2 linked regions of the Drosophila melanogaster genome follow. The gene in region 1 interacts genetically with each later gene. Each region holds a gene or a part of one and is shown in the gene's direction. Other genes may lie near its edges. The genes, in order: G9a and sba.

Evidence for each region.
Region 2: of G9a (region 1) and sba, changing one enhances a phenotype caused by changing the other (phenotypic enhancement), as found in Drosophila melanogaster (one study listed by BioGRID).

What each region holds. Positions count from the first base shown.
Region 1 is NC_004354.4:244,230-249,206, forward strand, and holds the start of G9a (G9a), read left to right. Parts: upstream 1-1,748; 5' UTR 1,749-2,620; coding exon 2,621-3,367; intron 3,368-4,152; coding exon 4,153-4,977. Other genes in the region: CG3038 (uncharacterized protein), read right to left, coding at 210-1,117, 1,183-1,441.
Region 2 is NT_033777.3:23,919,668-23,924,615, reverse strand, and holds the start of sba (six-banded), read left to right. Parts: upstream 1-1,642; 5' UTR 1,643-1,720; intron 1,721-2,835; exon of another isoform or gene 2,836-3,098; intron 3,099-3,769; 5' UTR 3,770-3,815; coding exon 3,816-4,609; intron 4,610-4,948. Other genes in the region: Ndc1 (nuclear division cycle 1), read right to left, coding at 1-72; CG31141 (uncharacterized protein), read right to left, coding at 418-963, 1,023-1,238. UniProt on the Drosophila melanogaster protein: Non-catalytic component of the polycomb repressive deubiquitinase (PR-DUB) complex, a complex that specifically mediates deubiquitination of histone H2A monoubiquitinated at 'Lys-119' (H2AK118ub1). Important for maintaining stability of the PR-DUB complex.

The sequences.
Region 1 (4,977 bases):
AAATTATATATAATTAAAAAACTGGTGTATAGTAATTCATGTAAAGTCGATTTCTGGCAAACATTTATTGTAATGCATATATATATATATGCAAGGATGAGTATCATATCCCTTTTCCAATATTTGTCTCTTCCTTCATCACCCCCTTTTAAAAAGTCCTTACATGATAGTTGCTAAAGGATGAAAAGCCATTTGTCCTTGAACCGATGTCACCTGAGTCGCAACGCTTTTATTTCAGGAAAACCATGTTTAGGGGGTCGAGATTTGGCCGCCGCTAAACAGGTCTCTTTGAGCGACTTACCAACCGGCCGTTTGACGCATTCATCAAAGTAGCACTTCTCAACGTTATGCAGAAATTCCACCAGTAGTCGGTCGTCACCGCCATTGGGTCCCACGGAGTACTCGCACTCATAGTTGTGCTTCTTGAGATCTCGCACACAGCAGTCGATGAACTCTGCATTGGCAGAAAACCAGTCGTTGTGACGCTCAAGGGGAATACCCAAACGAGTCCTTACTACTCCAGTCAACCAGGTGTCATCGATCCAAAAAAATGACATCCTCTCCGCCTCCGCCACAATCCTCTCGGCTGTTGGCACGTTGGTCACGTAAAGCCAGCCCGACAAATAGGCGGGATATAAAGCCTGAGGATACTCCTTTTTGCTAACGTACCACTTATTGGCTCGAAGGCGAATGGGGGGCTTGGCATCCAGTACGTAGCCAGATAACAAAGTACTTGATGTGGCCAGTCCAGGTTCGCGCACCTCGAGGGTCTCTAAATACCTGCGCAGATGAAACACATCGTAAATGATGTCATCATCCAGTTTAATGATAAACTTGGCCTGCTTTTTGCACTCCTCAGAGACCCACTTTAATCCCATTACGTGTTTGTAGCTCAGATTGCGATAGTCCTCGATGAAATTCCCCTGGAGAAGGTCCCCGAAACGATTCTGTTCGCTGGCCAGTTGATCCTGGCTTATAAAATGCTCTCTTGAAGGCAGGGCTGCCAAGAGAAAAACTCTTCGCAGGCCCATTTCTTCCAGTTTGCTTTGGGGAATTGCCTGTCGGTGAGCTGATCGCAAGGCATCGTGTCCGGCATACGAAGTAACTATTAAAACGGCTAATCGGGAATTACAAAAATGATTAAGGATTCCTTACAATGGTTGATTAAAGCAAAGAACTTACCTAAGAGTTCTCTTTTTGCCTTTCGACACACATTACTGGCCAGCAAGTAGTGGAAGTCCGTGAGATTCAGAAGATTACTTAACGGAGTATTAGGGTTAGATGGATTCCTCTTCGTTTCGAGTGGTAAGTGCAGCAAGAAACCGTTTTTGCGGGACTGGCTTGAATCCCTCAAGTGATTCGAAAAGTAACAGAGACTCAGTAGGACGATCAAAAGAAGCGACAAAATAATCGGAAGCAATCTTCGTCCGCGCATGCGCATTTTTCTTACATTCTACGTGGGATTCCCCTCGCACTATGCCGTCTGTAAGTATATGTGGCTTGGTCTATCTTGCTAAACTTTAATAAACACAATGCCTAAAACGATTATATATTAAGAAAAAAATAAATTGAGATGCGTTAATAACAATTGTTTTCACGCCTTTGCCAGTGCTGCCCTATCAAATTAGCGATAGCTAAATTGGGAACCGTGTCACCCTATTTTCTTTTAGCGATTACACATTCCAAGCAGCGTTGCCATGTCCGATAAACATCGATTTTTGTGCCATGCCAGCTCTAGTTGTTGTGTTGTTGCTGTTCTTTACGGATAACAGTTTTCAGCGCGAAGTGCGTGCGTGTGCGTGCGTCAAAAACGCAGTTCTGTATGTGTGTTCGTGTGCTTTTCTTATATTTTTCTAAAGTAATGTTATTGAACTGGTTGCCTATGTAAAGAGAAAGCCACGAAAACTACAAGCATTTGTAAATTCGTTGAAAAATTTGCAGCTTACCAATTCCAAAATCTCAAAACAGTGACTGCAACACCAACAAAAACGCAGTAGCAGCGACGTCGGCAGAGAAACAACAAGAACAACAATCTTGGCGTTGAAGCGATGTGAGAGAGTGTAATATTTGACAGCATGTGAGCTAATCAGCAAAGCAGCGATTTCTGCAAACATTTTGAGCTTCTTAAGGGCAATTAATGAACGAAAAAGTGGAAAACTATAGTAAATATATAGTAAGAAATATAGTGAGAAATTTTGTATTTTTACGTTTTGTTCTCTAGAAATTAAAAAAAAGAGAGGATACAAAAAATTTAGCTGTGACCACCAAGAAACGCAGTCGACTTCGCTGCCGGCAGAACGAAGAAAAAGAAAGAGCATAATATAAAGCAGAAAAACCAGATTTTAATGTCTAAATTTTAAAGATTAAATGTTTTATTTTGCCTTATGTTTGCCCATTTATACTCAAAAATATCGGTGTCAAAATAGTTGCAAATTCAGAACAGCAAAGCAACAACAAAGGCTGCTGCTTGTACGACCGATGCACAAATCTTGTCGGGAAAAATAGGGTTCTGAAAGCGAAATTATGTTTTTATTGGCTTAAAGATGGAAAATTGACTCCTGAAATCGAAAATCAAAGAAACTAATACGCAAAGTAATCAAATAGTGACAATTAAGGCAAGATGACGGACTTTGTTGAGCTGATGAACAGCATGTCCAGTACATTCAATAGCGACTGTGCTACTTCAACAGCGGAGGGTGGTACTTTGCTAAATCTGAACTTGGCGGAAGACAAAACCCTCAAGTGGCGTAATTTGGCCAATAACCAGTTCGCTAGTAAAGAAAAGAAGCACAAGGACAAGGAGGAGGAGGAGCGCAAGGAGGCAAGGAATCAAGAGGAAATCGAAGACATCAAAGCACTTTTGGCAGATGTTGTCGATGCGGCCGCTGTCAAGCTGGAAGAAGAAGAAGCGCAGAATGCAGAAAAAGTCGAACCACATACAAAATGCGAAATAGAGGAAGAAGGTAGGAAGGAAATGGAGTACGATCAAGATGTCGCAAAACAAGACTCCGAAATGGAAAAAAAGCAGAATGGCAAAGCAACATCCATAACAGTAAAGATGGAAAGCAACGAGCGTGCAGAGAAACACGCAACGGAAATTGCAACGACGTCGACAGAGAGATGGGAAAACGAAAGCTTTAAAACTGAGCAGCAAAATAAAAAAGCTGCTGAGAAAGAAGAAGAACCCATACTAGCAGCAACACAAAAATTGGAAGCAAATGCAGAACCACTGACAACAACAAGAATTGAGGTAGCAGTAGCATCTCCACTTGTTGTTAGTTCTGCTAGCGTTAAACTCGCTGCTGACGCAACCAACCAAATGCGAGCAGCGACGTCGGCAGGAGCAGCGACATTAGCTGATAAAAATGTAAGTAAATGTGTGTGTGTTTGTGTGTATCAGCTTCGAAATTCTTGCTTTTTCTTTTATATTTTAATTTATTTAGATGTTAGCCCTTGACTGCTGAGTTCTTTTCTTTCTAGTGTTTCACGTGTAGTTTAAATCAAATACATACGTAGTTATGATTGATGTACACATATTTATATACATAAATATCCTAATGTATGGCATTGTTTTGGTTCATACCAATCATAAAAAAGGTTAGGGATTTATTTCATTTCTCTACTTTTTGTATGTCATACAAATTAAAGACGTATTATGTTGGAGAAGTTACTATTTGTTAATTCATTTAGAAGTTAGCCCTTGACTGCTGAGTTCTTTTCTTTCTAGTGTTTCACGTGTAGTTTTAATCAAATACATACGTACATATGATTGATGTACGCATATTTATATACATAAATATTCTAATGTATGTCATTGTTTTTGTTCAGCTGTTTGTTTAATATGGTTAGGTCATAAAAAGGTTAGATTACAATTGTTAGTTTGTCATAATTCCAGAGGGATTTGAATACAAGAAAGACTTGAAGTAATTGCATCCAATTTTAAGAGGGTTAAGCCATCCATTCATTCATCCTCTTGGTCAACAGACCTCTTATGTTTGGTAGAAACAGTTGTCTAGGCAACCGATGAAGGCATTTGAAGCTTTCTTTGAGGACTGGTACTTCTAGTTAGTATGTCTCTATATTATATAATATATAATATTATCCTGAGTACTTCTTTAGTCGGCACATTCAATGAGTCTCTGTACTTTGCAGGTACAAGTTTCGCCCGGTGGAACGCGACGGTCTCGAAGAACACCCAGACCCATAGACACGCCCACTTCAGTTACTGATGAACATGTTCAGGTGGAGAATAAAAAATTTGGAAAGTCGGAGCAGTATACGGATTGTAGTAGCCATCTGGAGAGGTTCACACTGGACGATAATACTGCTATTGTCAGACTGCAGTTGAAAAGTGAACCGGACAAACCGTCATTAACTGCATTATCTCCTGAGGAAAACTCGGCTCCTGCTCCGAAGCGAGGAAGGGGTCGAGCCAGGAAAATAAGACCCGATGCCGAGGTGGAAACCAGTGAGGTTATTTTACCCTGCGAGGATTCATTAGGGGAGAAGAAACCAGGACGCAAAAGGAAACTCCCGGATGAACCGATAGATCAGCAGCAACTAAGCGACCTTGTCGTGGTAAAAACAGAGCAGGAGGAATTGGGTGACGCTCCCTTGGGAGATGTTAAGAGAATGCGACGTAGCGTTCGTTTAGGCAATCGATTACACGCCGATGGAAGCCCTTGGGAGGAGGTAAAGACAGAGGCACTTCACCCGCAGCCTTCTGCAGAACTTTCCTTTGCGGAGGTCACTTCTGAGATCTTGCCACTAGCTGTCTTAGATGAGAAGACCCCACCCAAAAAGCGAGGGCGGAAGGCAAAAACGCCCTGTGTGAAGTTAGAATCTGAAACATCCTGCGGGCTACCGTTTGCTAATGGCAACAAGAAAACGAATTCCTCTGGTGGATGCGAACTTCAGCTGCCCAAGCGTTCAAAAAGAAGAATAAAACCAACGCCAAAGATATTAGAAAATGACGAA
Region 2 (4,948 bases), on another chromosome or scaffold:
GAGGAGCACGGCGCGCAGGCAGCGGCCGAGCAGCAAGAGCTTGCAAGCGTTGCTGGAGGAGCTAGCAGACATGTTTGCGCTCCGAACTGCTAGACCATCGAGGTATCACCAATAATTTGATTTAATTCTATAGTTTTCTAATTGATTTCGCGACTAATTGCAAATATTCGACGGTTGCCGACAACGCGCGCGTTGTTGCACTTTTAAGTGTGACCGCATGCGGAAAGTGGAGCTGCCCGTAATCGATAACTCATTTGATGTTCGTAGTGAGAAACCCTAATGGAAAACGGTTTTTTGAAATTTATCTTTTTAATTACAAAGCACAATTTTGTAAATCTAGAAAGTTCACCATTAAAATGGCTCATAAAAACGTATGACTAAATTAGTATATCTTCAATTTTCGACCTAATTTAAGTTTTAGTTCTCCTTATGCTTCGGTCTCAGGTAGCACTGGAAATAAAAGTTGGCGAACATGATAAACATGATGGTCGCGGAGCAGCTGACCAGAAAGAGGGTTCCCTGCGATGCAGTGCACTGCCGCTGCATGGCGGTTAAGGCGCAATGGCCAAACATGAGGAGGAACTGCAGCATTTGCATGAGGGTCAAGTACCGCTTCCAACGCACCGTATTGCCCTTGATGGCCGAATAGTAATAGGCATACATGAAGATATGAACGAATACATTGAAGGAGCACAGGAAGAAGAGTTGACCTCCGTAGCCATAGAATCGTATTATCAAGTATCCGGCGGATGGCATCAGGACGTGGTGGAAAACGTGCAAAAACGTTATTTGCGAGTACTTCTTGCGCAGCACGCAGAACACGGTGTCAAGCAGGTCAACGATCTTGTTTATGTAGTAAGCATAGCTGATGCAGCGCTCCCAGTTCTTCAGCGGATGATCCTGCTGCAGGACAGTCATGCAGCGAAAGTTGTACGGTTGGAATACCAACATGAAGTAGTATCCCTACGGAAGAAGCTTTTATCAATTGAAGAAAAGAATGTAGGCTCAAAATTTCAACTCACGGGCAGGAGCATCATTATATTGTAGAATATCTGGAACATGTTATAGTACTTAAGCACTTTTCGCAGATTATAAGGTTCTCGATGCTCCATGAACTTCCTGCCGGCCTTAAAAACTACCAGAAGGTATCCAATGAGGATAATTATGATGGGACCGGGTCCAGTTGCCAACGGCAGCTGTTTGGAGTCCGCATAGGGCGTCCTAAATATTTCCAACATTTCTGTTACCTAATTATTGTGTACTTTTCAATTTGACAAATAAAACAACTGATGAACCGCCTTGCTGTCACGTGTTTTCTAATGAAAGCCTAAAAATATTGTATGCTTACTTCTTAATTGAGTAATTTCCCTAGGCAAGTTAGATTGATTTGTGTGCAATACCAAATTAAATAAACTTAAATAAATTTAATTGCCACTGTTATTTGGAAACAGCCTTGCCATACCGTTGGCTGATCGATAAGTCCGATATCGATTCTAGAATCGATGATATAATCTGGCATCACCGAACTATCGATTGCTCAGGTCGTAGCTTTGGCATTTTACAGACGTCCGCCTTCGGTCACATCACATTTTGTTGTTGTCGCGGTCGGAAAAGTGCACGGAGTTACGGTCGTCGATTCGTCGATTTTCCGTTAAATACAGCATACAAATTCCAAAACAAATGTGCGCACTCGCCGCCGCCGCAAACGCAGCGCAATAAGGTGTGTAATGTGTCCAATTGGCCGCAAATGAAAGTGAATAAAAGTCATAAAATTCGTGAAGTTGAAATAAAAAAAAAAATATAAATTTTGTGTGCGCGTTTGCCAATGAGAGTGAGAGAGCAGGCCAGAAAGAGAGAATGAGAGCGAGCCATAATATTGCGTGAATCGAATCGAGCGACACAAAATTGTTGTAATTAATTCATATTTAATTGGCATTTGGCGTAATCCGAGTCTGTGCATAATAAAGCCCAAAGCGAAGTGCAGTCGTCAGTTGGTTGTCGTGTGTTTGTTGTGTGTCTCTTGTAGCGTAATGCGTATTGAGGTCACTTTGTACATATTATAGCAGCAGTAAACCGCAGCATAGGCACGCGTATCGTACATGTGCCTGTGTGTGTGTGTGTGTGTGCGATTGCCCAATACCCATACCAGTGCACCGAGATAGCCACCAATGTTCGTTTTCATCCCACTGCCCAAGGCGAACAGCTGCTCTACCCCCTCCCCCTCCTCTGCCCCTTACGCTCTGCTCTCGTGTTGTTTGTGTTGTCGCTGATCGCCGGAGCAGAACCGCAGGGCAGGTGGTGGCTATTGCCCACTGTGCCGTATTGTCCACCGTGCAGCAGAGGCAAACAAACAAACAAACGAACGGGCACGCATTAATTATACTACTTAAAATATGGTCTGCAAATTGTGCTAATCTTAACAACGCAGCGGAGAGCGAATGAGTGAGACAGAGAGGGAAAGGGAGATGGGAGGTGGTGTGGGTGATGCCTCCCCCTCGCGCGCTCTCTCCTTTCCTCTCGCTCACTGCCTTCGGTGTCTTCACTTCATGCTCCATTCACCTACTTTTACGCGCTCTGCGCTCTCTGCTCACCACTTTTCACTCGATTCGCCACTGCTGACGTTCGTTTTCTGAATTCCAAATGAAGTCATGAGATTGTACACCAAAAGAAATAATCAAAACAAACACTATTAAGCACTTAAGGGCTAATGATAGCACCTTTCTATGAGCGTAGCATTACGTTACCTTGATAAAGAGCACCTTTCTGTGGTCAAATGTTGTGCCACGTAAATTAATTAAAATATTTAAAATATATGCAAAAATTTTAAACATACAGATATTTTCCTACCCGTGTACAAACAACACAATACGCATCTAAACGCAAACGTCGTTGTCGCATTATTACAGCTACAAAAGAAGCAGAGAGTGGAATACAAAATAATATCATTGCAAAAAAAAAGTGAAATTAAGTGTTTTAAACAAAAGGAAAAGAAACCATAAAAAAAACATGAACATGACATGGCCGCGTCTCGTTTACACAATAACTCAAAATTAATTTAATATGCTGGCAAATGAGCAAAGCGAAAAGCAAGCTAAAAGGTGAGCGAATAGCAGAATAAGGGGCAGAAACTTAACAACGCATAAATAACAAAAGGTGCGGCCTACGATTTGTCGTTTATACGATCGTCCAGTTAGCAGTATCTATTTAAGTGCGACTTTGGGTTTACAACCTTGTGGTTTTTCCCCTTCTTGCCGCCTTGCTGTTGCTTGTGCGTGAGATGGCGGATAAACCAGATTTAGTCCACTTCCACGTTCATTACACGCGCAGCGCATAAACCCTGATTGGCCCTCAATTCGGCTACTTTGTAAGTGGTCAACTTGTGGAGCAAAACAAAGGCCGCAACGCAATTCCATTCGATTAAAGTCAATGAGTCAACCGAAAACGTAGAAACAAAGACATGAAGACCTCCACTGTAAATAACAATAGGTTAATTGTTTAAATGCAGAGTCATGTCTGAAGAGAACGGATTTTCCAAAAAATTTTTGAATATTTGAACGCATTTATGATATTAAAAGTTTTTGCTATACAATTGGAAGCAAGCCCTTAATTAATGGGTTTATAAGAATGTGTATGGGGAATTAATTAGAGTGTGATAGAGGTTATAATGCTTATAATTCTTATTTGAATAATACTCAATGTAAATGATTATTCTCTGAATGTTCTAGTCTTGGCTGTGACTAATCCGGGAATTCCCTTGAATTCTTTGCAGGCTTTGAATTGCGAAGGAGTTCTCCTGAACGGCTGCTTTTATCGCCATGGCCGCCGCATCTGCTGGCCAGCAACAGCAGCAACATCAGCACCAGCACAAGCTGAACATAGCTGGGAGTGCTGAGACGGTGGTCAGCGGGATGCAACATCAGCAGCAACATCAGCAGCAGCATCAACAGATCAATATGTTCAAGCAGCAGCAGCAAATGTTGCCTCTGCAGCAGCAACATCATCAGTTTTTCCAGCAGCAACAAACGAAATTTGTATCGCGGGTCGTTACAAGTGCAGCGGTGCATCAGCAGCAGCAGCAACATCATCATCAGCAGCAGCAGCAGCAGCAACACCAGCAACAGCAACAGATATTACCAGCTGGCTTGGTAAACGGCAATGGCAGCGGCAACATGATGCAAGTAGCAAATCTGCATCTGCAGCAGCAACAGCAGCAGCGAAACAGTCAGCAGCACATATTTGTCTGCCCCACCAGCAACCAGCAGCTCCTTTTGCAACAGCAGCAGCAACAGCAGCAGCAGCAACAACAGCAACAAACCAAACAGCGCCAGGCGCAAATAAAGTTGCCAATAAAGTCAGCGGCAACAACGGGAGTAACGGCAGCAACTGTTGCTGCTGCAACTGCTGCTACTGGGGCAACGCATTGCATGTCGACAACAATTGCGGCGCGTCAAATGAGTCAGAACAATCAGCTCTATGCCAAGAATGTTGCCAAAGCCAACAATGCCAGTAGCAATGGCAATATCAACAGGAAGACGGCCACTAGCTACAATGGAAATTTGGCCCCCGGCTGGCGTCGCTTGACCAACAACAATGAGGTGGCCTATATCAGGTGAGTAGTCGGTTGGATAGTATCTGGGTACATCTGTGGCCACAGGATATCTCCCAGGTTGAGCATTGCTTGTTGGCTCCGTCGCTGTGCTGTGTTGTACTGACATGACACTTACAGCACGTTTGGCCGGGCCGGGCCGGGCTAAAAGTCAATCTGGTTATTGTCTGGCGAACGCAAACGCATTCGAGAAGCCATAAAAATGTTCAGCGATCCCCTCGCGCTACAGGAAATGCCACTGTCCATGGGGGTTAGCGGGGTCAGAGCCGTCAGAAGTGTGGGGGGGGGGGGGGGGCGCATGTTGTTTAGTGGGCGTCTGGGGGGTTGCAGTAGTCGTGTCAG